5 linked regions of the Coturnix japonica genome follow. The protein of the gene in region 2 purifies or fractionates together with the protein of the main gene of each other region. This does not show direct contact. Links are inferred from orthologs where the notes say so. Each region holds a gene or a part of one and is shown on either strand. Other genes may lie near its edges. The genes, in order: CAMK2D, WDR76, HELLS, DNAJA2 and XPC.

The links.
Region 1: the proteins of WDR76 (region 2) and CAMK2D purify together in Homo sapiens (affinity purification with mass spectrometry; 3 studies listed by BioGRID and IntAct, counting the BioPlex papers as one, with this or other methods). This does not show direct contact. The link is inferred for Coturnix japonica from reciprocal best matches to the Homo sapiens genes WDR76 and CAMK2D.
Region 3: the proteins of WDR76 (region 2) and HELLS purify together in Homo sapiens (affinity purification with mass spectrometry; 4 studies listed by BioGRID and IntAct, counting the BioPlex papers as one, with this or other methods). This does not show direct contact. The link is inferred for Coturnix japonica from reciprocal best matches to the Homo sapiens genes WDR76 and HELLS.
Region 4: the proteins of WDR76 (region 2) and DNAJA2 purify together in Homo sapiens (affinity purification with mass spectrometry; 3 studies listed by BioGRID and IntAct, with this or other methods). This does not show direct contact. The link is inferred for Coturnix japonica from reciprocal best matches to the Homo sapiens genes WDR76 and DNAJA2.
Region 5: the proteins of WDR76 (region 2) and XPC purify together in Homo sapiens (affinity purification with mass spectrometry; 3 studies listed by BioGRID and IntAct, with this or other methods). This does not show direct contact. The link is inferred for Coturnix japonica from reciprocal best matches to the Homo sapiens genes WDR76 and XPC.

The regions. Positions count from the first base shown.
Region 1 is NC_029519.1:50,654,259-50,660,597, forward strand, and holds the start of CAMK2D (calcium/calmodulin-dependent protein kinase type II subunit delta), read left to right. Parts: upstream 1-2,250; 5' UTR 2,251-2,383; coding exon 2,384-2,451; intron 2,452-3,041; exon of another isoform or gene 3,042-3,071; coding exon 3,072-3,166; intron 3,167-6,339. UniProt on the Homo sapiens protein: Calcium/calmodulin-dependent protein kinase involved in the regulation of Ca(2+) homeostatis and excitation-contraction coupling (ECC) in heart by targeting ion channels, transporters and accessory proteins involved in Ca(2+) influx into the myocyte, Ca(2+) release from the sarcoplasmic reticulum (SR), SR Ca(2+) uptake and Na(+) and K(+) channel transport.
Region 2 is NC_029525.1:18,051,071-18,056,349, reverse strand, and holds the end of WDR76 (WD repeat-containing protein 76), read left to right. Parts: intron 1-8; coding exon 9-95; intron 96-187; coding exon 188-231; intron 232-301; coding exon 302-455; intron 456-793; coding exon 794-946; intron 947-1,571; coding exon 1,572-1,786; intron 1,787-2,015; coding exon 2,016-2,168; intron 2,169-2,367; coding exon 2,368-2,421; intron 2,422-2,936; coding exon 2,937-3,192; 3' UTR 3,193-3,333; downstream 3,334-5,279. UniProt on the Homo sapiens protein: Specifically binds 5-hydroxymethylcytosine (5hmC), suggesting that it acts as a specific reader of 5hmC.
Region 3 is NC_029521.1:14,027,158-14,033,301, reverse strand, and holds the start of HELLS (lymphoid-specific helicase), read left to right. Parts: upstream 1-1,856; 5' UTR 1,857-1,871; coding exon 1,872-2,067; exon of another isoform or gene 2,068-2,095; coding exon of another isoform or gene 2,096-2,126; intron 2,127-2,202; coding exon 2,203-2,318; intron 2,319-4,044; coding exon 4,045-4,167; intron 4,168-4,424; exon of another isoform or gene 4,425-4,715; intron 4,716-5,371; exon of another isoform or gene 5,372-5,386; coding exon of another isoform or gene 5,387-5,582; exon of another isoform or gene 5,583-5,610; coding exon of another isoform or gene 5,611-5,641; intron 5,642-5,717; coding exon of another isoform or gene 5,718-5,833; intron 5,834-6,144. UniProt on the Homo sapiens protein: Plays an essential role in normal development and survival. Involved in regulation of the expansion or survival of lymphoid cells. Required for de novo or maintenance DNA methylation. May control silencing of the imprinted CDKN1C gene through DNA methylation.
Region 4 is NC_029526.1:6,537,296-6,542,974, reverse strand, and holds the end of DNAJA2 (dnaJ homolog subfamily A member 2), read right to left. Parts: intron 5,592-5,679; coding exon 5,458-5,591; intron 3,859-5,457; coding exon 3,662-3,858; intron 2,672-3,661; coding exon 2,527-2,671; intron 2,412-2,526; coding exon 2,284-2,411; intron 1,762-2,283; coding exon 1,573-1,761; 3' UTR 991-1,572; downstream 1-990. UniProt on the Homo sapiens protein: Co-chaperone of Hsc70. Stimulates ATP hydrolysis and the folding of unfolded proteins mediated by HSPA1A/B (in vitro).
Region 5 is NC_029527.1:8,357,800-8,363,478, reverse strand, and holds the end of XPC (DNA repair protein complementing XP-C cells), read left to right. Parts: coding exon 1-704; intron 705-1,150; coding exon 1,151-1,311; intron 1,312-1,565; coding exon 1,566-1,647; intron 1,648-2,067; coding exon 2,068-2,202; intron 2,203-2,653; coding exon 2,654-2,823; intron 2,824-3,102; coding exon of another isoform or gene 3,103-3,109; exon of another isoform or gene 3,110-3,132; coding exon 3,133-3,226; intron 3,227-3,676; coding exon 3,677-3,766; intron 3,767-3,862; coding exon 3,863-4,069; 3' UTR 4,070-4,893; downstream 4,894-5,679. UniProt on the Homo sapiens protein: Involved in global genome nucleotide excision repair (GG-NER) by acting as damage sensing and DNA-binding factor component of the XPC complex. Has only a low DNA repair activity by itself which is stimulated by RAD23B and RAD23A.

The sequences.
Region 1 (6,339 bases), on a different chromosome or scaffold from region 2:
TTTTTTGGTTGTTTTGGTTTTGTTTTTTGTCTGTTTGGATCGTGCTCTCTTTTAATGTCATTACTAAACAGAACTCCAATGGGAATAGAAAGTGAATGGATTATCAGTAATTTCTTCTGAACATTTTCTGGTGGCACAGTCACAACAGATAGTCTGGCCAAATGCCTGCTGTCAGGATATACTGTTAGAGAAAAAGGAAGGCAGGACGGGGGAATACACTTTATTTTTGAGTGCTTACGAATGCATCTGTCAGCAGCCTGCTGGACATGCCCCTGTAAATATGCACATCACCAAACAACCCCGGGGCTTCGGTCCTGCTCACTGTGTTATTTATGGAGGTTAATACAAAATTAGGCACGACTCACGTGTTGCAATTTTGTTCAAGGGTCAAAGAAATATCATAGAATCACAGAATCACAGAATGGCCTGTGTTGAAAATATGCCTCTGTTCCTTGTGCTGTTCTGTGCATATTCCCTTCACTGATCTGACAGTAGTACATTCATGCTCCAGTGTAAATGTGCAGCTCTAAACTGAGACATCCCCCCATCTTTTTGTGCTGGAATCGCTGCACACAACTCTCCCCTGAAGAGGAACTGGGGAGTAAATATTTGCAACTGGCTCCCCAGTTTCACAGCCTTCCTCCACCACTCCTTTACGCCATGAATGCAGTTCATTTCTACACGGTACAGCTGCCTCGCTGGGAGGAAAACTGCTGCTGCGCACAGGCTCATGCGTTCACATTGCATGCACACGCACATCCCGCATTAGCTGAGGAAAGAGCTGACAGATTTTTAACTCTTGCTACGAGGTCTCAGCTGTGAATCCTAATGGAAACCTGCATGGCACATTTCCTTCTTGGCACACTAGTGTGGGGTGCTTGGAGCTGCTCGCCTTCCCCCATCCTGCAGGCTGCCTGCTACAGCACAACTCTGGCTGTAATGCAAGCTGACATCTCTGCTGTGCTATATGTTTAGAGCACTGCACAGATGTTAGCGTAACTCATCCCTTAACGCACCACCATTGTGTGTAGCATAGAGGAACACACAGCAAGGCACATGGTGTGCCCAGCACAGAGCAAGCAGCCATGCCAGGGCCTGGGCTGGGAGTATGGCTGCATGTAACAGCGTGCGCCTTGGCGGCGGGTGTGGAAGCAGCCACATTTGGGAAGGGTTTTAGGCACGTTGTAATGATTTCCAACTTCGGACTGTGAAGAATGCTGCCGTTACCACCATCAGCAGCTCTTCACCTGCTGCTGCTGCTTTGGCTTTAAATATTTTGGACAGAAATCTTATGGATGAAATGTCTATAAAACCAGATGCGTTGATACTTCAGCCGCACCATTTCCCACACACAGCCGCTTTACCCCACTCTCAGCACGGCTCTCAGTGACACGACAGCGGCATTCCCAGCCCTTCTAACCGAGCACGGTGCACGCTCCGTGTTGGGACCCCCGCTGTCGTCCAACCCTCCTCCGGTGCTGCGGAGCCGCCCTTCCCCGCTGCAGGACCGAGCCCAAGGTCACAGCCCCCGAGCCCACCCCGCGCTGCGGAGCCCCGGGAGGAGAAGAAGGAGGAGAAGGAGGAGGAGGAGGAGGTGGGGGGGGTGTCGCGCGGTCCCGCTTCCCTCCGGCTGCCGCCGCGCGCGCCCCCGAGCACGGCCGCCCCCCCGCCCCCGCGGGGCGGTTGTTGACGTCAGCGGTCGCCGAGGAACGGGCCGCAGGTGCATCCGTTTCCTCGGGGCCGGCGGCGCCTCCCGCCTCCGTGCCGGGTGCGGATCGAATCGGATCGGCCCTTCGCGCGGCCGTTCCCCGAGCGCGGAGCCCCCCTTGCCAGAGCGGCCCCGACGGGCGGCGGCAGAGAGCCGCGACGGGGCGGCCGCGAGCGCTGGGCTCGTATCGCTAGGGGGAGGCACGGCACCGGGAATCGGCGCGGAGCGAGGCAAGGCGGCCCCGCTGCCCGCGGGCTCGGGAGAACGTAGGGCCGGGGCGCCCCGTCGCCGGCTGCCGCGCCGCGCCCCCCGGCCCGGTTTTGCTTTCCCTTTCGGTGCCGCCTCTCCGCCGCGACGTTTTATTTATTTATTTTCCCAGAGGGTGGGGACGAGGGGAGGGGAGAGACTCGCCGCGGGGACGAGCCGCCTGGCGGGGAGGAGGCGGCCCCGACACGAGAGGCGGCGGCGGCGGCGGCGGGGAGGGGAGAGACTCGCCGCGGGGACGAGCCGCCTGGCGGGGAGGAGGCGGCCCCGACACGAGAGGCGGCGGCGGCGGCGGCGGCGGGGAGGAGAAGCCGGCGCGGAGCCGCTCCTCGCATCGCCTCGCCCACCCCGCAGCCCCTCCGCCGCCTCGCCTCCCCTGGCCGCCGGAGGCACCGGCGGCCGCCCGTCCCCATGATGGCCTCAACCGCCACCTGCACCCGCTTCACCGACGAGTACCAGCTCTACGAGGAGCTCGGCAAGTAAGTACGGGGCCGCTCCGGGGACGAGGGGGGAGAGGAGGGAAACACTGAGAGTCGGGGGGGCTCCGTCCCCGCGGGTTGGGGTGTGCGGGGCGATGCCTGCAGCCCTGCCTCGTCCCCGGGCGTCGCTTCAAGGCTGAGACTCGGTCCGTGAGCACAGCTCCGGGTGGGCGGCAATCCCTGCGGGTGCTGCGGGCGGTGACGGGCTGCCCTGCTGCCGGGCTGCCCTGCCGGCGGCAGCCGGAGCTCGCTACCCCCGACACGACCGCGGCCGGTTCGTCGGGCGCCCCCCTGCGTTGGGGCGCGTATCCCCGATCGCCATGTTGGCACGGACACGGGGACCCGGGGCCGCAACGTGCCGCCGCCGGGAGAGCGCTTCGGTCGCACCGCTCGAAACAGCGGCTCTGAGCAGCGTTTTGCTGTTGCGTTGATTAAAATGAGCGCTGACCGTCTCTGACAAGCCTCCCTTCTTCTTACAATTTATTTTTCTTATTATCCCGTTCCCTCCCCCCCTTAATTCTTTGGGCATCGTTCCGCTCCTTTAGATGTGTGGCAGCGCGGTGGTAATGGCAGGGCGCTGTTCGGGTGGCACTGACGCTCTGTCCCCTCTTGGCTTGCAGAGGAGCGTTCTCGGTCGTGAGGCGATGTATGAAAATCACCACAGGACAGGAGTATGCTGCCAAAATCATCAACACCAAAAAGCTCTCGGCCAGGGGTGGGTATATTCCATATATTCCAACCGAGCGTTTACGATATCTTCTCCTCATTTCTTGCATTCTTGTGGCGAGCGTTAAAACGGAGCACAGAATAATAAGAATTAAGGTTATTAATTTTCTCAGTAATTTTCTTCATTTCCTTTCAGGCAGTGGTTCTTTTTTATGCTAAACGTTTCAGAGGTTAACCGTATGGAGGGCTGTGTTGCTGTACCTTAAAGGGAAGCTTTATGAAGTGATTTAAATGAGTGCATCCTCTTCCCGTTTTTACATTGGAAAAACTGGAAAGGATTGTACACTCTGATTTTTTTAGGGGAAGGCTGGGAAACAAGTTGACATTGCGGCTTTTATCATAAATATGTGTTTTCTTTTCTGAATTCAAAGTTTCCATTGCATTTAAACTGAAACGTGAAAAAGGCCTATTTGAATCCGTGGAGAAGAGTGTGATGCCCCCTCCTGTACTGAACTTTGTGATGAGATCCCGGGGAAAGGGAAAATTCCTTTTTTGAAGCGTCCATTTGTGAACACAAGTCATTCTGAATGACACATTGTGTCACAGCTCCAGCCCAGCATTAATGCCTGCTGCACCGCATGCTTAGGTTTTACTGTAACATGTTTGTTTCCCTTATGTTCTGCCTGTCAGTGGGAAGTCGTGGTGATACATTTGGGTGGTCACGTGTGTGCTGTAGGTTACTGCTGTCGGCAGCAAGCCTCAATGGAGATATGTCAATTCCTTGTTAAACCCACGTCAAAGTGATTGTAGGAGGATGTCGAGGATTAGGGATTATTCTCTGTTAACACTACCTGTGTTTTGATGTGAGTTTGTGATATGGTAAAGAATGTGAAAGTGAATAAGCAAGTGGTGTCAGCTCTGTAGTCTTCCTTAGAAGTCATCATTTGAGACATGCTGTTTTTCAGGCTTTCATTTTGTGCTTCCTTGGCTGTTCAGGCAGGACCGAGTTGGTCCTCACTGCAGCCCATTGATGCACCCAGACCTGCTGGGGAGAATTTGGCTGGCAAGGTGGAATGTAGCAAAACTCATGCAAAGAAAAATTTCTGTTGGTTTGAAGTGTAGGCCCATAAAGCAAGGAGTTGGGTTTTCGAGGTTGGTAACTGGGCTGTGAAATATTCTTCCATATGTGAATGAATGTGATGCTGTGTCCACGAATGCAGTGGATCCATTTCCATCTTGGCTTTCAAAGATTCCAGATTTTATTTTATTATTTTAGTTTACATGCACTGCTGTTCTTTAGCTTTTATCTTTTGGAAGACAAATAACAACATCTCAGCAGCTTTTGAAGAGCAAGCTCCTTACAGAGATCCTGGGATTCCTCTTAAGCAATTCTGCAGTTACAAAAGGGTGTTACTTGCAGTGCCTCTGTCTGTGATACTTTAACGTGACTGATACTAAGTATGCAGCTTACAACTCGGACTACATTTCAAGTAGTATCTAAATTATAAGTTTCATTCTCCTCCTGTCTGATCTGCTTTATGATGAGGTAGCAGTTCACTTTGATGTTTCCAGCTTCTCACCTGAAATACAGATCATAATGTAAATCTGAAGGTTATTGGGTGAGCTTCATCTGTGAGCGGTTAGAGGTTCTCAGCTTGCCATGTATCCCATGTACAACCCTGCTTGTCTGTAACTCTGAAGCACTACATCAAATTTGAGCCTTCTTGCTTGCAAGACAGAGTTGCCATTACAGTGTTTTGATGGGGAGGAGTCACGGCTGTTAATCTAAAGGAGAACTCAACATGATTTGAGTTGAAAAATTATTTGACTGTGTCAGCCTTGATACAACAATAATTGTCACTCCAGCCACAAATGATGTTGGAGATTGTTTGGATCCTTCCCTTAGCAGCCCTTCTAAACACAGGGTGATGTCGTCACACGCTTACGCCAGTGAAGGTGTGTTCTCTTCTGATTCCTTGTTCAGTTGTGAAGAAATTCTGGAGTAACCATGTCCAGAGATGGGCTTTGGCTTTCATTTGGAGGGAAGGAAAAGGAAGTTTGGTTCTGTTGTGTTTTGGTTTTGCAGAAGTGACTTTTGTGCTTTTAAATGGATGATCAGTTATTCACATCCACTCTGATCTTACGCACCAATTGTAGCTGACAATGCAGTAAGAACATTTCACATTATGTTTTTAAGTTCTTGGCTCTATGAGGCGCTTCAGATTCCACATTTCTCTGATTTTGTTGATAGCAATAATTATTTGCAGTTTAAATCTCTCAGTATGGCAAAAAGAATTTTATTAGGATGTCAAATGTCCTTAGAAATTTGAGCTGCAGCTTTTTTTTTCACATTTACTAAGTCAACTGAAGTATTATGTTGATGTTAAAAAATCAATAGCTCGTTTTGTACCAAGTCCTTTCTAGACGAGCTCACGTGATTTAATTGTGCTGCTAATTTAAAAGAGGAAGGAAGAAGTTGTATTGCGCATCCCTCCAAGACTGAATGCAGTGCACAGAGCACTTAGAATAAAGTGAAGGGTGTGTTTGCAGATTCTGGGTTCTGTATTGTTTGACTGATGAAGTCACTGCAATTTTCTTACTGCTCAGTTTCTAAAGCGTTGCTTTAGGCTCATTTGTGGTGTTTTTCTTGTGTAGAAAGAAATGTAGCTAAAGAAGAACGTTTTGCAAGGTGACTTTTCCCTGCATGTACCAAATGCAAAATAATTCACAAATTATTGTCTTTCTTTAGTCATTATCTGTACATCTTTTATTTTCTTTTTTGAGAGTCTTATGGCTTTGATCCAAACAAATTTCAGGAACAGAGCCATTTTCTTAAGAGGTTTGGGCCTCGCAAAAATTGCTTTCTAATACTGTTTTCTGGTTGGGTGTAATTTTTGCCAATGTTTATTTTGCTGTGTCCTCTGTAGTGGCTAAAAGCTTTGTTCCTTGGATGGCCATCTAACAATATTTGTGAGAAGAGCTTTTGTTTTCTAGAGTGCTTTTATTGAATGCTGTCCGGCTGCTCCTCTCCCAGCCCCTTTGGGTGCTGCAGCAGAAGTGAGAACCTCTTTGTTTAGGGCATTCCTGTTACTAAAAGGAATACAGGAATCAGCTGGAGGTTATTGCTTGTTTGTCTGTAGCTCCCTTGATCTTTCATGGCCTGGTCCTTCCATTAGCTTCAGTGAGCTTGGGAGCTACCAACATGATCATTTATCTTTCTTC
Region 2 (5,279 bases):
TGTTGCAGGTCCCTGCCGGACCGCTGCCCATGGCCACGGGTGGGCAGGAGAAGAGTGAAACAGCGCTGCTGGGCACCTGGCTGCAGCTGAGCGAGGTACGGCCGGCTGCCTTTGGTGGCATCTCTGGATGACGTTGCTCATGTCCTACATGATCTTGTTCTGATCCGCGTCTCTTTTCAATCCTCAGATGAAGAATAACAACACTGAAAAGCGCACGTGTGACATGGCGAGGTAAGGGGAGGTGGCACAGACCCTGGGCTGGGTCTGCTCCGCCCTGGGGTGGCTGACGTGGTGTGTGCAGGTACCAGGCTGCCCTGAGCTGCATGCTGCTGCGCGAGGACGGCATCAGGAAGGTGGTGAGCGGCCGTGTGTGCTCCGTGGCCATCCACCCCACAGAGAGCGCCGTGCTGGTGGCAGCTGGGGACAAATACGGCCACGTCGGGCTCTGGGACGTTGTAAGTGTGCTCCTCTGCCTGGCAGCACCGCGCTGCACTGTGAACCAATTCTGCTGCCCTGGGAGCTGTGCTGCTGTGGGAGCTGAGCGGGAGGGATGCTCAGCACTTTGGGTTCTGGGTTTGTGCTGGGCCGAGCAGCTTCAGCTGTGTGCCGCCTCAGCTGGAGGCGTTTGAAATGCTCCACACACATAATGCACGTTGTTGGAGACTGCCGACCTCTGCAGCCCCTCCTGCAGCACCCTGTGGTCCCACGGAGCAGCCTGTGCTGCACAGCTGGGCAGTCAGTGGGAAGCACTGCAACGGCTCTAAGCATCCGTTTATTGGCTTTTGTTGTTCAGAGCCGCACAAGTGAGGAAGGAGCTCAGGTCTTCACCCCACACAACTTGTCCGTCAACTGCATGCACTTCTCGCCCTCCCACCCCGCACAGCTGCTGTCCCTGAGCCACGACTCGCTGCGCTGCGGTGATGTCAGCAGGGCGGTGTTTGATGAGGTGGGTGCTGCGCGGTGCTGCTCCCATTGCAGCCCAGGTGTTATGTGTGGGTTGTTAACAGGGGAGGTCCCATTTCTATGGGGGCACATGAGGTGGCTTTGTTTGCTGTCATGAAGGCGGAGGTGCTGCCCAGCTGATCGCACTGTGCCTGAGGTGGCCGCAGCTCTTCACTGTAGCAGGAAGGAGGCTGGAACTAAATACACTGTGTGCCCCTTCCCAAAAGCAGCACTGCTTAAAGGTGGGGAATGGGAGCGGCTTAAAGAACTAAAGCCAGCACACAGCCTGTGTTAGATGACTTTGCTCTTCTTGGGCTCTGAGGGAGCAGAGTGCTGTGCCTGCTTTCTGCAGCAGTTTAAGGGCCTCATGGTGCTCCGTTTGCTGGTAGTCCAACCTGTCTGCATGGAGCAGCTCTGAGAGCAGGGCATGGGGCTGGCTCAGGTGGGGTGGTTAATTGCCTGCTGTGGGGACAGGTCATGCAACAGGGAGCTGAGGCTGGAGCTCTGATCAGGTCACTGCCTGCAGAGTTTCAATATACAAAAAATGCCCACGGTGTTTGGTGCTGCAGGTGTGTGTTTGTTGTGCTGGGCTGTATAGCTGTACTTTCCTTTGCCCCTCTGGCACTCAGATTTACAGAAGTGAGGACAGCCTCTCCTCCTTCGCTTTCCTGGAAGACGGTGCCCACACGGCCATTGTGGGGCTGTGGGATGGCACAGTGGCTGTGGTGGACAGACGGACCCCGGGGACGTCACCGGAGCTCTCTGCAGACATCGGCTTCAAAATGACGAGGACGGTGGACGTGCACCCCGTGGACAAGCAGTACTTCCTTGCTGCAGGCTCTGTGTACGTAGCTCAGAACACGCATTGCTGTGATCCCCGCTGTGGGCATTGCTCTGATCCCTGCTGTAATGGGCTCTGTGCAGAGCAGGAGCTGTGCTGGGTGGTTCTCAGTGTTGCAGGCTGCTCCCGGCTTCCTTGGCTCTTAGAAAGACCCATTTTTAGTCCTCAGCAGCATTTGAAATGATAGAATCTCGTTTTACAATCCCTTACCTGCTCACCTGCTGCGTTACAGCGACGTCCGTGTCTACGACATGCGATGGCTGCGGCGCAGTGGGAACAAAGCAGTGAGTGCCCTGCGTGGGCACAGCAAGAGCGTGGCCTCCGCGTACTTCTCACCCATCAGCGGGCACCGCGTGGTCACGGTGTGTGCAGACGACAAGCTGAGGTGAGGCCATGGGGGGGCTGAGCCCATGGGGGGGGCTGAGCCTGCAGTGCCCTGGGTCATTTGTTGGTTGGGATCTCAGTGCTCACAGCCGAGTGCTGCATTCTGTGTGCCCGTGGTCCTGCACTGAGTGCTCCACGAGGTGGGGCTGCCTCTTCTACCGCACGTAGTGTCCATCAGCACACACTGTTTTGTCCTACAGGGTCTATGACACCAGCTCTTTATCAGCCAACTCTGCCCTCCTCTGCACGGTCAGGTACAGTGGGGTGGGCTCTGCTGTGTTGGGGCTGCATGGGGTGCTCGCAGCCAGGAGGCAGCAGCTTCTGATTGCTGCAGTGTGCTCTGCTCGAGTGCTTTCTCTCTGAGTTTCTAACATAGGAAGGGTTACTGAGCAGTGAGGGATGTGTTTCCAAGGGGTGCTGCTGCCTGCAGAGCTCTACCAGCCTCCAGGCTTGTCCCCTTGGTGTGGGCATCACCTCAGGGATGGGGCAACTGAGGCTGCTTTGAGGCGTGGAGGCACAGGATCATGAAGGTTGGAAAAGGCCTCTAAGACCATGAAGTCCAACCATGACCCATCGATAGCCATTCATTTCCACGTGTCCTCTGACTTCTCTTGTGCTCCGTTTCATTTCTTTATCCCTTTGCAGCCCTGTGCCCAGCAGTTGGATGTGGCAGTGTGTAGGGGCAGCAGGATGGGTTTTGGCAAACACGTGGTGTAGATGTTGGTGCCTTCCTTCTGCACTTCTGCATCTGCTCCTCTCTGCTCTGCAGGCACAACAACAACACGGGCCGCTGGCTGACGCGCTTCCGCGCAGTGTGGGACCCCAAGCAGGAGCAGTGCTTTGTGGTGGGCAGCATGGCACGGCCCAGGCAGATCGAGGTGTTCCAGGACACGGGGCTGCTGCTTCACGCCTTCTGCAGCCCCGAGCACCTGGGCTCCGTATGCTCCATCAATGCATTCCACCCCACCAGGAACATCCTCGTGGGGGGCAACTCCAGCGGCCGCCTGCACGTCTTCATGGAGTAGGGGGGGGGGGGGTTGTCCTGCATGGAGCTGTGGGTGAGAGAACTGCAACTGTGCTGTCGTGGGACAAAGCTGATCTTTTAAGTGCTTGGTCTGTGTTTATGGTTCCGGCGTTCCTTTCAATAAAAGGATGTTTAATCTAAAGGTGGTTTATATCAAAATAGCAAAAAAGAAGACGTGATGTGGTCAGATGGCTGTTCCCTGAGGGTAAGCTTACTTAGATCAAGGTTACCATGGAAGGATGTGGGGCATTCAGCAGCTCTGGGTTGTTCCCCCATTTCTCCTGCAGCACCCACAGCTCTCATGGGGGTTCCTCAGCCATGGGGTCAGATCTCCCCACATCCCTGCTGGGGGGTGGGTGCAGCTGGGGCAGGAGACACAGGTGGGGTGTGTGGAGGTAGAGCAGGAGGACCTGATGAGGGGAGGTGTGGGGCACAGTGGGGAGGCAAGTGGTGCAGCTGGGGCAATAGCTGGGGCATGTGGAGCATCTGGAGGAACAGCTGGGACATGGGGTACAGCCGGGGGCACAATTGGGGCACAATTGGAGGCGTCATGGGGCACAATGTGGCACATCTGGGCTTTGAGGTGTGTGAGAGCAAACAAATGTCAAACCAAGGCGGGCTGGGGTGGGGTTTTTTTGTGTGTATTTTTTTCCCCCATGATATTTAAATATTTATTTCAGTTTAAAAATACTTTCCATGGCACCGATGAATTTCTGCTCACTAAGATATCGAATATGTAGAAAAAGGTACATTTCGAAGGACAATGTGGCTGACAGGATTTGGCACATGAAAGGTCAGTTCCGAGGTTTTTCTTATGAAAACTAAGAAATTCACATTTCCGGTATCTCACCCACTACTGCGGAGATGCGGCGCGTTACGGCGCCGCTGTTGTTCGATATGGGAACCTACGGGAACGACATCCGGATACAAGGACGTAGAACTAAGAGGTGCCGAACACCGGGACGCAGCCACGGCCACGGCCACGGCCACGGCCACGGCGCTGCGGGGAAATGCCGGGTGAGCACGGCGGGTTCCGCGGGGCCGACGCTCTGGCTGTGCGAAGGGAAGCGGATGGAGGAGGCCGAGGTCGGCGGTGCCGCGGGCACCGGGCGGGGGCTACCACGCACTGCATAGACACACTGACTACGGGCTGAGGTAGGAACACTACACTACGAGTGAACTCGGCTACGTTGCATAAACGGGGTCAATGGGGGCCGAGCGGGGACGGCGGCCGCGTGGTGGCACAGCGCAACCGGCCCACGGGGGGCTCCGCGCGTGGCCATGGCCGTGCTGCACCGCATTACTGTGCTGCACCGCATTACTGTGCTGCACCGCATTACTGTGCTGCATGGCTGTCTGGCTGCCGGTGGCACCGCGTGGCCGCGCCCCGTGCCCGTCCCGTCCGTCCCGTCCGGGCTGAGCGGCGGCCCCGTTGCCGTGCGATCTCTCCCTGAGATGAAGCGGAGCTGCTCGGCCTCTCGCCCCGCGTCCAGCGGCGGCCGCAGCGCTCCCGGACCGGCGTTATTGCTCCTGGGGAAGGGCCGTCCCCGCTGACCGGCTCCCACGGGCGCCACGAGCTGTCGGCGTGTTTTGGCTGAAGGATGGATGGGGAGCGATGGCTGCTCGGCGACATCCCGGCGTTACCTCCCGTCCTGCAGCGCGTCCTTTTGTCTTCGGCAAAGTCCTAAAGTCGCCGCTCTCCGCCTCCCAGAGCGCGGCAATGGACTACAAACATCCACCGCCCCGCCGGGCCCCGGGCGGAAAGTTAAAAACAAAACAAAAAGACTCGGGCTCGATAACAAAAATAGCTTCTCGTTGTTAAAATAGACCTCCAAACAGTCATTTGTACAAAAGGAGCCGAGCGCGGGGCCGTGGCGCTGCCGGGGTCCCCAAAGGGCGGCACGGGGCTGGGGGGGGGGGTCCTGCGGCACGGTGAGACGGGGAGCATCCTGCGCAATGCGGCCCCGGGAGGGGCACGAGGATGAGCGTTAATAGCAAAAGAAATTCCTCTCTTTATTGGGTTCTCCCCCATCGCCCCGAGGGGGTGGGGACCCCCGCGGCGCTTCCGCTCTTCTCCCGCGGAACGAC
Region 3 (6,144 bases), on a different chromosome or scaffold from region 2:
AGGAGCACAGGTGAAGGTAATCCGGCTGTGGTCCTGGAAGGGGTGGAGCTCGACTCTACCTCTCCTAGATCCCATTTAAGGGCTGACCATCACTAAGGTAGCATCTCTTTCTGGAGATTGCTCTTGTGTGGAGTTTTTGTGGTGAACCTCAACATTGGTGAGCATCCATCTTGACTGAAGGCCTCAGCGTTGGTGAGTCTTTTCTTAGATACCCTCTGGCTATTCATTTACTTTGTAATACCAATTATATTTGTATTATTTCAACTATACAGTATTCCCTTACTCACCTTGTCAGGTCAGACCATTAAAATCTAATATTAAAACGTCAGTCTCAGAAGTGGTTGAAGGGGAGCGATGATCAGCAGCACTAACTATTTCCATGATGATAGCTGCATCTGGAGAGGAATGTTTATTGTCATCACCCCACTCGTGTGCTAAGCCAGGGTAAGTTCCCTCATCTGCAAGGCTGGACATGAATCTTCTGCATATTCCCTGGTAAGTGTCTGCCTCTGGGATGTTCAAAACAGGCCATGGTGTGTGTCCATCAGTCTCCAGGCTTAACTGACTGACCTTGTACCATTTTCCTGGGACAGATTTTTGAAATATATACTTTTCAAAGAGTCCTTCACTGCATAAAGTTCTGTGGTTATAGGATATCCAAATGTCACCAAAGAAAAGGCTGATAAACTACTAGTTTGTCATTTATTTCTGCTGACCAACAGGGAAAACAGTATTTCAGCTCTATGTAATGACCAGTTGAACACAGAAAAATCACACGTACAAAGGAAAATACTTTTCTAGAAGCTAAAAGCACTGTCCTGCTGCATCCCACAGCCAGGATTCTTGGGTTAGGGGTAACACAGATATGGCAGTGGTGGGAAGGATGGTAAGGGTTTGACAGGGTAATGCAATCTCTCCCTGCAAAAGGGAATGATCATGGCCCCACCATGGTGCTGCGCAGAGCAGGAAATGGATGAAACAAGGACAGGCCTTAATTTTTCTTTTTATTTGTATATATATATTTAAAGAAGCAGAGTTATTAACATATACTTTCCAATCAAAATCTTTGCAGTTTCATTTTCTTAAGTGCTTCTGAAGCTTAGTGACACCTTCACCTTTCCTTCCTGCCTGAAACTGGTGCTGACATCCGGGTCACCACAAAGTACTTTGGAAACTGCTTAGAATCTCACAGAGCTAAAGGTACCTTTAAAAAATAAGTTTTCTTTGCTTATTTGCTTTGATGTCTTGAGACTGAGTGAAAGCAAAAAAGAATTATAACCGCAAAGCCCAAACCAAGTGAGATTTACAAGGCAACCTGATATTGCTGCCTCAACAGACGTGTCATTAAGATACAAGGACATTGCGGTCAGGAGCTATAAGAGGAAAAACAAGTTATCCCTGCCAATGCATGTGCTTAAGGGAAGAGGTTACCAATGGGCAGCGGAGGAAAACTATTGGAAGGGGTCATTGGGACCAGCAAGAGAGACTCAGGACACAAGTGCAGAGGGGTGGAGAAGTATGTAAAGAACTTATTGGAAGCAATATGGTTGTACTCAGAAGTATAATGTAGCTAAGTATGCATATGTATACTTGTATAGCTTGTGTATGTATGTATATATGTGTATGTATATAGTATGTCTATGTAGCTGCAGTCTGAAAGCAAGGCAGCTCCAGCTTAAGAGCACCTGCCTTTTAATACTACATTGGTGTTAAAAAGTTATTCAAGGCTGCATTTTGTTACCACGGCGTCAATAAAATAACATCACCGGCTCTTAGTAACATTCTTCCCAGTATTGCTTTGCCATGAAGCACATTACAACATCCAGTTCCACAAACTAAGGCTGCACGGCTTGGAACAGCAGGACCTGGGAATGGGGCGGGGAAACACCTATCACCTACCAGGACCCAACCCAGCTTCAGCCCCACTCCGCCATAGGAGAGGAGGGCTGAGCCGTCTCGCGAGACAGACGCTTCCTCTCGCGAGACTCGAGCTAGCGCGCGGTTTTTGGTCTCGCGAGGCGGCGTCCCGCGCGGGAGCAGCTCGGCGTTGGGTGCGCGCGGAAGGCGGTAGGAGCCGGGCGGAGTGTGTCGCCATATGCCGGCACCGAACGGGGAGAGCGGCGGCGGTGAGAGGAGGGAGGAGGGGGGGACAGAGAGAAAGGAGCCGGGCACGGCGGGTAACAGCGTGTATGGTCGTTGCAGAACCGCCGGGAGCTGAGATGGGCGAGCAGGAGGTGGTGATCACGCCGGCCATGCTGGCTGAGGAGGAGCAGCTGGAGGCGGCGGGGCTGGAGAAGGAGCGGCAGATGATGGAGAAGGTGCGGGGATGAATGGGATGAATGGGGGCTTTGCCTTCGGAAACACGTCCTAAGGAGCTTCACATCCCGCATTGTGAACAACCATCCCTGTGTTTCGTTATCCCCTTGCTGTGTGTGTTTCAAATGCTGATATTAAGGGTGTTTGGACCAGAGAGATTGTCCCTGTTGTTTATCCCTGCGTCCTGGGACAGCTAATACTCTTCAGCTTCTGTTTTTTTTTGGGGGGGGTTTCATTGCCTGTCACTTCTTTGGACCCTGTTTCCAGCTGTATGTACACATTGCATCTAGTGTGTAGCCTGGTCGGTATAATGGGTACTAAAAGCAGCCCTGTAGCTTGAGGCTGAGTCCAAGGACAAAGCGATGCCTACCCTGGACAGATCAAAAGAACTCTTTTGATTTGGTGCTGTTTGTCGTCTTTGGGTTGTCTGTTTTTTTTTTCAAGGGAAAAAATGGGTTGAAGGAAGTAATTAGTGGGAGTAAACTATTCAACTCCAGCAAAATAAATAAGAGTGTTGGCAATTCAATGAACAAAGTAGCTTAGTTTCACTTATGTTATCTTTTGGCATTGACATCAAGGGTCGGTCCTCCTGGGCTCAGGTGCTTTGTCTGAAGGAGAGCAGAAGCGAATAAAAACTTTATGGAGAATCGCAGGAAAGCCATCTAAGCTCCAAATGACACGGAGAAATGGATCTTCCTGTCGTTAAAAGCACAGAGATAGCTGCTTAGTGATTTGAAGCATCGCTTTGGGAATGTTCAAGGCAGCATTTCTACCGGACAGCTTTTTTGTCTTGCAGTTTACCCCATCAGTCAGCTTATATCTGCAAATAGGCTACTTGTGAATCCATTTAGTTGCAGGAAATTCTCTTGTTTTTGTGTCCTAGTGTGCCCTTCCCCCAGTGTTCCTTCTGAAGGCTGTGGCATAGATAAGGATCTCCCGAGGCTCTGCTGCTTGCCTTCCCTCTGGTTTTTCTTGGAGATGCTAATTTAGACGTGTTTGACATCTCAATCTAACCAGCAGTTTTGGGTGAATGCTTTTTTTACTCTGGAGGAGGTCTTGACCTCGGTTTTAAAGATGTAATGCAGGCTTCTAATTGCTGTATGGAATCAATTCAACAGGTGCCACTTTCAGAAGAGAGTAGCAGTTTAAACACGTGAATTTTAAAAGCGAAGCAAAATAAGTTACTGTTTTCATACTGGAAATTCACTTGGCCACTGTAACGTAAGCATTAGCAGTTTAGGCATTTATGATTAGGCTGTTCAGATAGCTTGCTGATAATGGAGAGCTGTACCTTTGAGGATATGGTTTAGGAAACTGTTTGCTGAATTTTGCAAAGTTATTGTTTTTCTCCCAGGTCTTGTGAGCTGTGAATAAACTTAAATGACCTTTTTACTCTAAATCTGTAAGTTGGAAATTAGACACGTTTAAGCCCTTGAATGCTTTGTCCTGCTGCACTGGAAACAAATATACCCAGAGCTCTGTTTACATACACGAGTGAATGCAACCCTCAATTATATTAATCTCTGAGCACTTTGTAGAGAGAAAGGGAGATGTGGATTGACACACCCACAAACTGTGGATGTATAATGACTGAAAGAGAGTGCTTGTGTATGTATGAGACAAATGGAATCAATCTGTAAGAGAATCTTTCATTATCTTACAAGCATTACCTTGGAGGCGTGTATAAATACTTGGTGTATAAATACATGATGTCTCTGTATTGGCCAGGCTCGCAGTGCGTGGGACAGGGAGTCAAGTGAAATGCGCTACAAGAGGCTTCAACACCTGCTTGAGAAAAGCAACATTTATTCCAAGTTCCTGCTAACTAAAATGGAGCAGCAGCAACTGGAGGTAGGTGTATTCTTGTCTGCGACTGGGATTCTTTAAGACGAGCTGCCATCTGTTTGGTTTTCTTACCATCTAGTGTTTGGAATTAAGGTGAAAATACTGTTGGATTTGCAATAATTATGTATAAATGTACAGGAGGTACTGCCCAAGGATGAGGTGGTGCTTTATATTCTGAGTTTTGTGGGAATCAAATGTTGTTTCTGCATTTAGAACAAAATATGAATATATAAGTGAAGAAATTTGTAGTTATTANTAATGCAATCTCTCCCTGCAAAAGGGAATGATCATGGCCCCACCATGGTGCTGGGCAGAGCAGGAAATGGATGAAACAAGGACAGGCCTTAATTTTTACTTTTTATTTGTATATATATATTTAAATAAGCAGAGTTATTAACATATACTTTCCAACCAAAATCTTTGCAGTTTCATTTTCTTAAGTGCTTCTGAAGCTTAGTGACACCTTCACCTTTCCTTCCTGCCTGAAACTGGTGCTGACATCCGGGTCACCACGAAGTACTTTGGAAACTGCTTAGAATCTCACAGAGCTAAAGGTACCTTTAAAAAATAAGTTTTCTTTGCTTATTTGCTTTGATGTCTTGAGACTGAGTGAAAGCAAAAAAGAATTATAACCGCAAAGCCCAAACCAAGTGAGATTTACAAGGCAACCTGATATTGCTGCCTCAACAGACGTGTCATTAAGATACAAGGACATTGCGGTCAGGAGCTATAAGAGGAAAAACGAGTTATCCCTGCCAATGCATGTGCTTAAGGGAAGAGGTTACCAATGGGCAGCGGAGGAAAACTATTGGAAGGGGTCATTGGGACCAGCAAGAGAGACTCAGGACACAAGTGCAGAGGGGTGGAGAAGTATGTAAAGAACTTATTGGAAGCAATATGGTTGTACTCAGAAGTATAATGTAGCTAAGTATGCATATGTATACTTGTATAGCTTGTGTATGTATGTATATATGTGTATGTATATAGTATGTGTATGTAGCTGCAGTCTGAAAGCAAGGCAGCTCCAGCTTAGGAGCACCTGCCTTTTAATGCTACATTGGTGTTAAAAAGATATTCATGGCTGCATTTTGTTACCACGGCGTCAATAAAATAACATCACCGGCTCTTAGTAACATTCTTCCCACAATTGCTTTGCCATGAAGCACATTACAACATCCAGTTCCACAAACTAAGGCTGCACGGCTTGGAACAGCAGGACCTGGGAATGGGGCGGGGAAACACCTATCACCTGCCAGGACCCAACCCAGCCTCAGCCCCACTCCGCCATAGGAGAGGAGGGCTGAGCCGTCTCGCGAGACAGACGCTTCCTCTCGCGAGACTCGAGCTAGCGCGCGGTTTTTGGTCTCGCGAGGCGGCGTCCCGCGCGGGAGCAGCTCGGCGTTGGGTGCGCGCGGAAGGCGGTAGGAGCCGGGCGGAGTGTGTCGCCATATGCCGGCACCGAACGGGGAGAGCGGCGGCGGTGAGAGGAGGGAGGAGGGGGGGACAGAGAGAAAGGAGCCGGGCACGGCGGGTAACAGCGTGTATGGTCGTTGCAGAACCGCCGGGAGCTGAGATGGGCGAGCAGGAGGTGGTGATCACGCCGGCCATGCTGGCTGAGGAGGAGCAGCTGGAGGCGGCGGGGCTGGAGAAGGAGCGGCAGATGATGGAGAAGGTGCGGGGATGAATGGGATGAATGGGGGCTTTGCCTTCGGAAACACGTCCTAAGGAGCTTCACATCCCGCATTGTGAACAACCATCCCTGTGTTTCGTTATCCCCTTGCTGTGTGTGTTTCAAATGCTGATATTAAGGGTGTTTGGACCAGAGAGATTGTCCCTGTTGTTTATCCCTGCGTCCTGGGACAGCTAATACTCTTCAGCTTCTGTTTTTTTTTGGGGGGGGTTTCATTGCCTGTCACTTCTTTGGACCCTGTTTCCAGGTGTATGTACACACTTGCATCTAGTGTGTAGCCTGGTCGGTATAAT
Region 4 (5,679 bases), on a different chromosome or scaffold from region 2:
ACATCAGTTATTAAACACTACAGCTTGATATGATGGACTTCTTGGTGAAGCACATCAGAAGGATCACTATGTAACTATGACTGAAGTTTGTTTTTTTAAGTGAAAACAAACAAAGCTTCACCAGATGACTTGCACAGTATAAATCAATACTGAAGTACCAGCCAAACAGTGTTTATTTTTGCTTCAGTTTAAAATCCACATTTAGCAATGCTCTTATGACATCACCTACCCAAGTACACAGAAAGCTTTGGAGCATCTCCCACCTCACTCACGGATAAGAAGTCAACAATTACCTGACAAGTTATTAAAGTCACACTCGAGATTTATAAAGAAAAGAATGTATTTCAACTTCTACTCAATGGGGGAGAGGAACTACACTATAACAAACTGGTGAACAGCAACTCATACACAGTTCTCTAACTGACAAAATAAGATAGCTCTACCTGGTAACTATTTAAGGTCTCTTTTTTTCGCCAATTAAGTGCATATAAAAAGGAATAGGACTGAAAGTGGGAAAATAAAAGGTCTTAATTGTTAGGGAAAAAAAAAACAACTGAAAAACTAATAAAATTGACAACATTTAGTATGTTTTGAGGTCAGAAATATTTGTCAAGTAAAATGCTAATCTCCATCTCTTTACAAACTGCATTAATGCAATTGCAAATTGCCAGGCATGTTTATTTATTTGTAAGACACTTAGCATGGGATTTAATCATCTTCATTGCAGATGTTTGTAACTTCTTGATGGCAGTCTAAAACCTTTGTACTTTCTCTAAAGAAAGGGGACATGGCTGTGGCCTTCCCCTACCTAAATAGCTGTACTGCTGCTCAAGAAAACATTTATACACAGCACACAGTTCTTAAACTGCAAGCTGGTCTTAAAGCAGCTTCAGCCTCCCTGTGCTTTTAAGTGTCCACCTCTCTATAGTCAGTTGGTACACAACATGGTCAGAACCACTGCAAAAGTAAAAGTTACAAGGCAGAAAGAAATATTATACACCAACTGCTTTTATTTATTTCAGAAACCGTTCACAAGATGGTAGAAAAAACTTACAACCACTTCTAATTTAGTCTTCCATTGTTCCCAGTCAGCTCTAAACCCATTATGTGCAAAGCCCATTTACCATGCATCTAGATGACAGATACAGGCTATGAAATTCTTTATTCTACTTGTAGCAGCTTATGCAGGTGCAGCCAAATACCAAGCCTCAGGACAAATTGTACACAAACTTTACAATGTAGAATTTGAATTTAAAATATGAAACTTAAAATCTACACAAAACTGGTAAAAATCAAGCACAGATACGAGGACAAACTTAAAACCCATGTGAAAAGGAGTCTCGTCTTCCTTTCAAGTGCTTTATTCTGCTACACAGTCAAAATGAAGATGTAAGCTTTGTGGTTAGTTTAAATTACACTCTGTAGATACTATAGACCAATTTAAAAGTTACACATACAGCAATAGATGTCCATTGGTTCATCTGGATTACTTATACAATCCAGTTGGATTGTTGAAAACAAGTCAGGCAAAATTTGAAAGAAAAATCCTTGTGCAACTTTTTAGACAAATGTTTACTGATGGGCACACTGTACCCCAGGTCCATGATGGCTGCTTTCTTCATCAGAACTATCATTATAAGCTTCACGTCTCTGGCCACCACCTGAACCACGAGTGGTATCAAATTCTTGAAGATCTACCTCTTCTGCATCACCAATTACATTAGGAAATTCTGGTCTAGCAGGCAGAAGATCTTCAAGTTCCTGCCCCGAAAAAAGAAGTGCATTCAGTACCGTATCTCCAACTTTATCTACATAAAGCGATGACTTTCCCCACAGCTTCATGACTCCTCCTCAGAGCAAGTTTGCTTTGGAAGCCTAAACTGGCATAAGCCCTGGAGTGCACAACTCATTTAAGAGTAACCAAAGTATCTGCATTAACTGGAAGACACATTAATAAGGAAAAAGCTCCACACATTATCAACTAATGTGCAACCAGTAAATATAGTTGCACTCTGAAGACTTATTACATGGTCACAGGAAGATTCTTCCTCCTGTTCCCATCTACTAAAAATCCACACAACTTTTAAAAACAGGTACCAGAAACCTATATTTCAATACATATTTCCAAATCATATGCTGCTATAAACAGTGTTAATAGAACAATTTATTCAAACTTAGGCATTGCAAAGCAAGAATTGGAGGCAAGAACGGGAAGCTAACACACAAGCACCTTGCATACACCGTCCAGTAGACTACCAAATTCATGCTTGAAAGACTACTTACTGAAAGCTTCTCTGGGCTAATCCAGTTATTTTCAGGAAACTGAACGTCAAATTTAATGTAAAGATCCCCCTTCTCAAAAGGATTGCGATACTGTGGCATTCCTTCACCTCTGACTACACGGACACAGCCTGTAACAGTAAGAAATAAGAAATGCTACTTTAGGAAAATCTTGCCCTACCCAATTCTCTAGCCAAGGTTCAGGTGAAAGCATGGTCAAAGGAGTCCTTATCTCCTCAAGCTTACCTGGTTCAATTACTTTTCCAGGAGGATATTTAACCACAATTTGACGCCCATCGAGGTGCTTAAATGTGAACTGGAATCCACACAGTGCTTCAACAAGTCCTATCTTGTGCGTCATATGCAAATCATTCCCATCCCTTTGGAACACCTGAAAAACAGAAACAGGAGGTATCTTTTCTAGTACTACAACCATATCCTCACAAAACTAATTATTTAGAGCTTATTTCTGTTCCTAAAACTTCATGTCAGACCTACCAACATACTGTGGAAGTCTGTGCATTACAAACATGTCATACAAGATAATACAAACCACACAACATCCCAAAGCATTAGGTTCAAATTACATAAAAGGTAGCCCATAAAGCAGCCGTGTTCCCCAAGACCTTTCACAAAAATTAGGCTATAAACAAAAATTTCAGGACTGTTTGACACTACTTCCTCTACACCATGCTACAGAAATCACATTTTGGTTTCTCAACATTTATTGTAGCTGCTCCCATCTCCTTCAGCTAGTTAGCTATGGGGCAAGGTTTCGATCAATTAGTCCGCAGCCATCTTAAGAGATCTTTCAGCCACAGCACTTTGGATTTTTCACCAGAATACACACGAGTTTGTCTGCTGGTAGGCTGCCAAAAGCATTACTTCTTCCACCTCCTTTCCTACTTCAAAGGAGATTTTAAGAACATAAAATCTCGACTATCAGTCTAGTTCTTCTCAGTAGGACACAGGGTTTCAGTATTTTTCAGAATAGTTAATGCTGTAAAACCAAATAGTTAATGCTGTAAAACCATTATAAGACTGAGATAGAAATGATATCTACCATATGGATTGTCATGCTGGTACGTGCATTTGTTTTGTATGCATACAGTGTTCTCCCTTATCAAAAAGAAACCAAGAATCAAGTAACTGTGATGCTGGGTTTCACGCAGTATTACAGAAGAAGAATAAGGCTATACATAAGCCTTGACAAAATAGCAGTCCACAGCATTGAAAAGCTTACGAATTACCAGATACTTAAAGCTGGTAATAACTTAGGTGCAACTACATGAGTTACTTCAAACCGAGCAGCCATTTACATCACTAAAATATTAAAAGATTATATTTTAAATGCAATTTAATATAAACTCAAAAGTATTACCTCATTCTCCTTTTCTTGGAGTAAGAGGACAATATCGCCTGGTTCCACACCTGGAGCTTGATCTGCTTCTCCACTGAATGTAATTCTTTGCCCATGTTTCATGCCTTTGTCTACATGGACTTCAAGTATTTTTACCTCTTTGATCACCTTTTTCCCTTCACATTTTTTACAGCGGTCTTTTTCATTAATTACTTCACCTAAAGACACAAGTTTTGAGTTCAGAGATTTACACATAATTGTACACCATTCTGAAAGGGGAAACAAGCTGTTTTAAAGTAAGTTGAATAACATACACAACAGAACCAGTCATTTAGATGTTGCTTTACGCATTTTGACAAGGAGAAAGCCAGGCTCTACTTACTGTACTTAGGAGATGGGAAAGAATGAACAAAAAGGTAACACAAAGATACATATATCTTTTTGTATATAAATATGCAAGTTTCCAAGCTGCCTTTTCAGGAATCTTTAAAAGAAGATTTTGGACAAGGAAGACAAAACAAAAGATGAGGTTTGCAGCTTGCATTGCTCCTTAGGTCCAAATTGAACTCCGGTATCCTTACCATTCAATTTCTCTTTAAAATAAATTTAAAAATAAAAAAACACCGATTTTTAAGTTCTTTGCTAAAATGCAAGATAATCATTATAAACGAGGAGTAAACCTAAAACCAAACATAAGCATCCACTCTCTCTTAAAAGTTACAGTACTAATTTCAAACTACTAAACTGAATTTTGGAAACTTAGTTCTGTTCTGTTAACATCAGTGAAAGGAGGATTACTGAGGGAGTCCCATTTTGCAGTATTTTACCACAGCTCTGAAGTATCATATAAATATAGTCAGCAAAACTTGAGATTTACATACATTGAAGAGAAGACAGCTGGTCAAACTGGCTTCATACAAGACAGAAATTATCTAAAATAGCCTGGCACATAAGATTCCACTTCTATACTGCTCTGACAGTGAATAGTTTTTCACACTGTTTGTCACCTCTAGCAACACAAGTACATCCTCCAGCAAACTGAAGGATAATTATACAGAACAGCTTAAATTCTCTGTTCTACCCAGCTGAAATGATGTACTCGAATGGTGAAAACAAGATGTTCAGAAATATCATTTGTAAAATATTTCAATGAAATACAGCCCTTTGTAATTTCAGGTATTGTCATAAACAAAGCTATCTAAAAGGCTGCATCACTGCTCTGCAAATTGCCTAACATTCAGAAAGAATTCACACAAAGCACATATCGCATGACGGTCAAACAACCAATTCAGCAAAGGGTATCTTAGTAATTTTTTTTTTTTTTTTTTTAAGTCCAACTTCAGTTTTAACATAAAGCTGTTCTTAGAGAATAAGACTGCAAAATTAAATAAATAAAGGCTTTTAACCCTCCTCCCCTCTCCCCCCCAGATGTTGGTCTTTTTAATAGAAGAGTAAAAGCAACAAGTAAAATTCACATCTAAGTCTTTAAAAAACAAAATAAACAGAAACCACCACCACCACCAAGTAACACACACAAAAAAAAACAAACACCAGAATTAATCCCCATTACTCAAGTTTCCAGGTTGTTTTCTGCACTCCAGACATACAATGGTGTTGCTGCTCTAATTAAAATGACTTCTCCACACTGGGACCAGACACCTAACTGACCACACGAGGGAAAAGCTCTCCTAGATGAGATGCCTTTCACTGTATGACAGAAGCTATGCAGCAGTTCTTCCAAACACACAAGATAAATATTTACATATTTTTATTGCATATTTATAAGCGCACTGAGGAATACAGAAGAGCCGGCCTACCTTCTCCATTGCAGTCAGAGCATACAGACTGCATCTGCTGAACCATTCCAGGAGCCAGCTGTCTGATCATGATACGTACACCTCTACCCCGACAAGCATTACATTTCTGAACAGCTCCAGCCTTCCCTCCTTGACTAGAATAGAAAGCACCAGTTGCATTAAAACCAAGCCTTTCAGAAACATATGACAGAATATTTACAGCAGTAGGTTAACATGCCTGAC
Region 5 (5,679 bases), on a different chromosome or scaffold from region 2:
CTGGAAATGAGGACAGTGGTTTAGGGGAAAAAGATGTGCCGGTCAGGCCCAAGAACAATCGCCGGAGACGAGTGGCCTCCAAAGTGTGTTACAAAGAAGAGAGTGGAAGTGATGAAGGCAGTGGTTCTGACTTTGAGATTTCAGGAGAGGAAAGTGATATCTCTGACGAGGACTTTGAAACAGTCTCTAAAAAGCGGAGAAGCTCACGAGGTGCCCAGAAATCAAAGGTAATGGCTATAAAGAGCCCCAAAAGTGAGACTTCAGAATCAAAGCTATCCAGAAATACTTTGGGAGTTGAGCCAAGACCTGCAAAAAGCACAGCTCCAACCTTGCCTCATACACAGAAAAAGAGAAACAAAATAATTTCTAGTGATGAGGATGATGGGCAGCAGATGGTACAGAAAGTGGCTGGCACAGACCAGTGGCTAGAGGTTTTCCTTGAACGTGAGGACAGGTGGGTGTGTGTAGACTGCGTTCATGGCATTGTTGGCCAGCCCCAGCAGTGCTTTGCATATGCCACAAAGCCACTTTCCTACGTTGTGGGATTTGACAATGATGGGAGCGTCAAGGATGTGACACAAAGATATGACCCGGTGTGGATGACCACGACAAGGAAGAAACGTGTGGACCCTGAGTGGTGGGAAGACACACTGCAGCCATATAGAAGTCCCTTTGTGGACAGAGACAAGAAGGAGGAAACCGAGGTAAATGATAATAAGTTATGGGAGACATTCAATAGCATCATAGTCCCTGGATTCCCATTCAGGCAAAAATCATAAGGAATGGTTCCACGAGGAAGGAGGTTTGTATTTGAGCTTGAAATATTCAGAATGAGCAAGTTTTAAAGGGAATATACAATGATAAGATTAAAGTAGTAATCAAATAGAGCACTGGGAAGCCCACACTGGAAACTTAATGATATGGTTTCTGTACAGCCTGATGTTACTCTTGGGCAGATTCTTTAAGATATATAGATGTGGGTGCAGCGCTAACTGTGTATCTGCAACAAGAATGCTTTGGTCCCTTGGTTCATCTGATTATTTTCCTAATATTTTTTCCCCTTAATCCAGACTATAGTCATTCTTAATTCCTTAAAAGGCTAGTGCAAGGTAATTGTGAAATAACTCTCTTTTTTCCATAATTCCTACAGTTTCAGGTTAAGCTTCAAGATCAGCCTCTACCAACAGCAATTGGAGAGTACAAAAACCACCCTCTATATGCACTGAAGAGGCATCTCTTGAAATATCAGGCCATCTATCCTGAGTCAGCTGCTATCCTAGGGTACTGCAGGGGAGAGCCTGTTTACTCGAGGTGAGTGGTGGACATAGTTGTCTGTGTCTGTGATCTTTGTAACAAATTAAAGCTCATTTGTGTGCTGACCACAACGGTATTTGCAGTAGACTCAGGCCACGTGCACAGACAGCATGAGACATTTAGCTACTCAGACAGAATTTGCATACCACTTAGATACACTTATTATTTTTATTTTTTTAACCATTCCTAGCATGTGAATAATGGTTTGGAAGTCTCTGATGCAACTCTTTGCTTTCTTTTGGTCTTTTTAGAGACTGTGTACACACGCTCCACTCCAAGGACACCTGGCTTAAGCAGGCTCGAGTGGTGAGGATTGGAGAAGTGCCTTATAAAGTAAGTGGGTTTGGCTTCCTCCTGTGCAACATCTGCTCTCTGAAGTTCAAGCTTAGCTTTGTTTGTTGTTGTTTGTTTTTTAATGTCTTCTTTCTGTCAGCAGATGTGGGTTTCTTGCTTTCATGTGGTAGCTGTGTTGTGATTCCATTCACCCGCTGTGTCTGTACCCCAAGGGTATCTTGCAGAACTGCACCCTTTATATCTTCTTCAGAAGCATCCTATGACTTCCAATTAAAGAGGGACTCTAGCTCCCTTGCGCACAGTAGCTGTGGGTTATCATTTATAAGGGATAAATCCCAAAGACAGGAAGTAGGCATTATTTCTTTTCCAGAGTCTTCTCCTTTGCCGTCCTGGGAAAGTCTGAAATCACTAACAGCTTGTTTCTGCGCTGTTCCAAGTATGATCATTGTATTTGCACAGATGGTGAAGGGCTACTCCAACCAGGCGAGGAAGGCACGTCTTGCAGAGCCTGCAAACCGGGACAAAGCAGACCTGGCGCTGTTTGGTCGCTGGCAGACAGAAGAGTATCAGCCACCCATAGCAGTGGATGGAAAGGTAGCCAGGAAAGCAGAGGGCTGGTGTTAAAGGAACTGTTTCTTATGAAGCTGTGGGCTTTATTTTTTGAGAATTGCACGTTTTAAAGGTGAGATCAGTCAATAATATCAGGCTTAAGAATTCTGAGGTAAATAAACCCAGGAGGGCACAGTGAAAATGTCATTAATGCCTTTTATTCCTAAGTCCAACTTTCTAATCTATCTAATTTCCAACTTCATCTTTGTTTTGCTAGTTCTCAGCATTACAGCCAGAGTAACAAGGCCAGGTCAGAGAACATTAGGAGGCAACCATGTAGTTAAAATTTAGCTTGTACCTTGTGTGGATACTAATAGAATACCAGAGTAGAATGCAGCAGGCCAGAAAGAGGGGAGGGACCTTGAATTGCAGCTAATTTCGGCCTCTCTCCAGAAGGCAGGAGTGTCATCACTTCTCTTTCATTTTGCAATACCAGGTTCCTCGGAATGAATATGGAAACGTCTATCTCTTCCTGCCCTCTATGTTACCTGTTGGTTGTGTGCAGCTTAGACTCCCCAACCTGAACAGATTGGCACGGAAGCTGGACATTGACTGTGCTCAAGCTGTCACTGGATTTGACTTTCATGGTGGCTACTCACACGCAGTGTATGTAAAGGTGCTTTGTTTAAGGTGATGAATGTTGATGTTGTGTAGAAGTTGTGTACTCTGTGCACATCCTCCTTCTCTTTTGAGCTACCTGTGGTAGCAGCATCAATGGCCCTGGCATGCAGAAGTGACTTTATATGCTCAAAGGGTCTGCACTTGGGGGGTGGAATAGGTGATAAATTATATATTTACACCCCACAAGACAAGTATCCCATTCTGTCAGCAGCTGTTTGACTGGTGGGGTCATCAGGCATTTGCTCCCTTTCTTTTTTCTTCTAGTAGCTGATGGGATTCTGTTCTCCTTCTTAGTACTGATGGCTATGTTGTCTGTGAAGAATATAAAGAAGTGCTCATTGCTGCCTGGGAGAATGAACAAGCAGAAATAGAAAAGAAGGAGAAGGAGGTGAGAATTATTTTTGCAGCCACCTTATTACTGCTTAATTCAATTTAAGCTGTAGACAATCAAAGGAAGGCTGCATTTGTAACAGACAGAGCAATGTGACCGAGAGAGAGAGGCAAGTTGAATTCCCCAAATGCTTCACTTGTGGCTTTCTGTTTGCATTGCAGTGCAAACAAGTGTGCAGCAATCTCTGAACTAGAGTGTACTTTCAAATAGTTAAAAATTGGAAAGTGACAGTAATTCATATCATTAGCAGATACGTTGTCACCAATACACTGTTCCTAAGAATCATACCGGCCTATAATCTTCTAATGTGACACACTGAAGTTGTTGGTATGGTGTTGAGTAGTGGTTCTTTTATTTTTCAGCTCCATTTTGAAGGCTTTAAACTTCTATCTCCTGTGAATATCAATACGCTGGAACTTGTATTTTTTTTTCTCTTTTCAATAACAGAAGCGTGAGAAGAGAGCTCTGGGGAACTGGAAGTTGCTGACAAAAGGACTTCTCATTAGAGAGAGATTGAAGCAACGCTTCTCCATCAAGGTATGTGATAGAAAATGAGCCTTTTTAGAAAAGAGTAGCTACAAATGATTATTAAGAGCTCCTTTTCCACTTTTATGCCTGCTTGTTTTTTTCCAGGCTGAGCCATCAGCATCTGAGACAGAGAAAGGAACAGGATTCTCCTCTGATGAAGAAGGCCCAAGTTCAGGGACTGCAGGAGGAGATGTGGAAGTTTCTTGGCCCCGAAATCGCCAGGCAGAGCAGCAGAAAGAGAAGACCACCAGAAAAAGCAAGCGACAAAAGAAGGAAGAAGCAGCACAGTTGTTTCCTTTTGAGAAACTGTGATAAGTACAAGCATTTCTTTGCTTTTTCCCAAAGCAAGAACAGAAAGGTCACAACAAAAGTATCCTATGCCAGTTAAAGACTTAATCTTCTGTTCGTTTGCATTTCTGAGCTATCAGGGATCAACCTATTTCAGCACCAAGAATCTATTGCTATTGTGGGTAATTAAGTTCATCTGTTTATCCTTGAACTCAGGAGAAGCAGAAGTGCAGCTGTACTTTCCAAGATCACCATCTGTACACAGCTGGGCTTTTTTGCACTCCTCTGTATCACTCAACACGGTCACAAATCAGCACTGCCTCTTCCCAATTTTTTCCTGTTTTTTTCTTTCCCCTAATTGCCCAGAACTGAAGTATGCAGCTGCTATTTAACAGTCTGTGGTAAGCTAGTTAAGAGACTACTACATCCTTGTTTTAATTCTACCTTATCCTAATCAGTAGAGATCCAGTCTCACCATCACAGAGGTGGAAAATAACTCGTGTGGTAATACCTTGTGTGGAGTGCAGCATTCAATCAAGACTTGGATGAACCAGAAAACTTCCACGCTGAAGACTAGATGTGCCTTTTGTGATGAGACGAATGTTAAGTCTATACAAGCTCTTCCTGCAGTTTTGCAATAGAAATGTTGTTTTGTCTTTTGCTGTATTTTTAAAAAGAAATTACACTGTTTCTTTAAAGATGGAGATGAATCCAGTCTACTTGTTGCTCAGTACTGTTACAGAGAAAGGCTTTAAATGCAAGAAAATGGCTTTCATTTATCTATCTCAAAAAATATATATTTTTGTACCGTATTTGTAGAACAAAATAAAGTAATTAATGCTCCTCTCTTCTGGCAGCAGCTCAGTTTATCTATCAGGATTGTCTCATACAACTAAGCACTATAAGAGTGTTACTTCTAGAAATCACAAACCAGGTCCCAAGATACCGCAGAATTAATGTTAAGGGTCATCTTTTTTATTTCTTTACCATTGACTTCTAAAACAAAAACACTGAGTTTGGTGGGTAGGCGTGATTGTATAGAAGACTTCAAGGTCAAAAACAAAACCTCTCACATAAAGTGGTAAAACTGCAGTGGACTGGAGAGGGCAGAATTCCTTCTGTGTCAGTGGCTGCACAGGGTACGTTACAAGATGAGTACTTTGAATGCAAGGATCTAAGTCCAGCTGGCATCAGTAATGTTTCATCTGCTTCAAAAGGGAGCTGGAAGCAGCTGTATCACAGTGAGTCAGCACTTCCCAACTTCAGTCAGCACTTACTGGACTTAAATGCATGAAGTTATGAGTTCAGCCAGCTCTCTCAAACTAAGCACGCAAAAGATGAGAGTAAATACAATTTAAGGGAGAGCAAAGCAGAGAGGAACAAAGCAGAAAGCAGATACACATTCTGACAGAGCATGCTAAGCAGGCAAGAAAAATACTGCTTCAGTTGGTTTGATAGAAATTTGTATACATGCAATGAAACAGAGCTTTGGCTCCACCTGGATACCTACCCTCAGAAACATTAAGTTCTTCAGTTTTGCACCATTCTTGTGTGCAGATGAGCATGTAAGATGAAAGTGTTCTAAACTGCTGAATGCAAAAGAAGCCTCTAAAAAGCAAAAAAAAAAACCACCT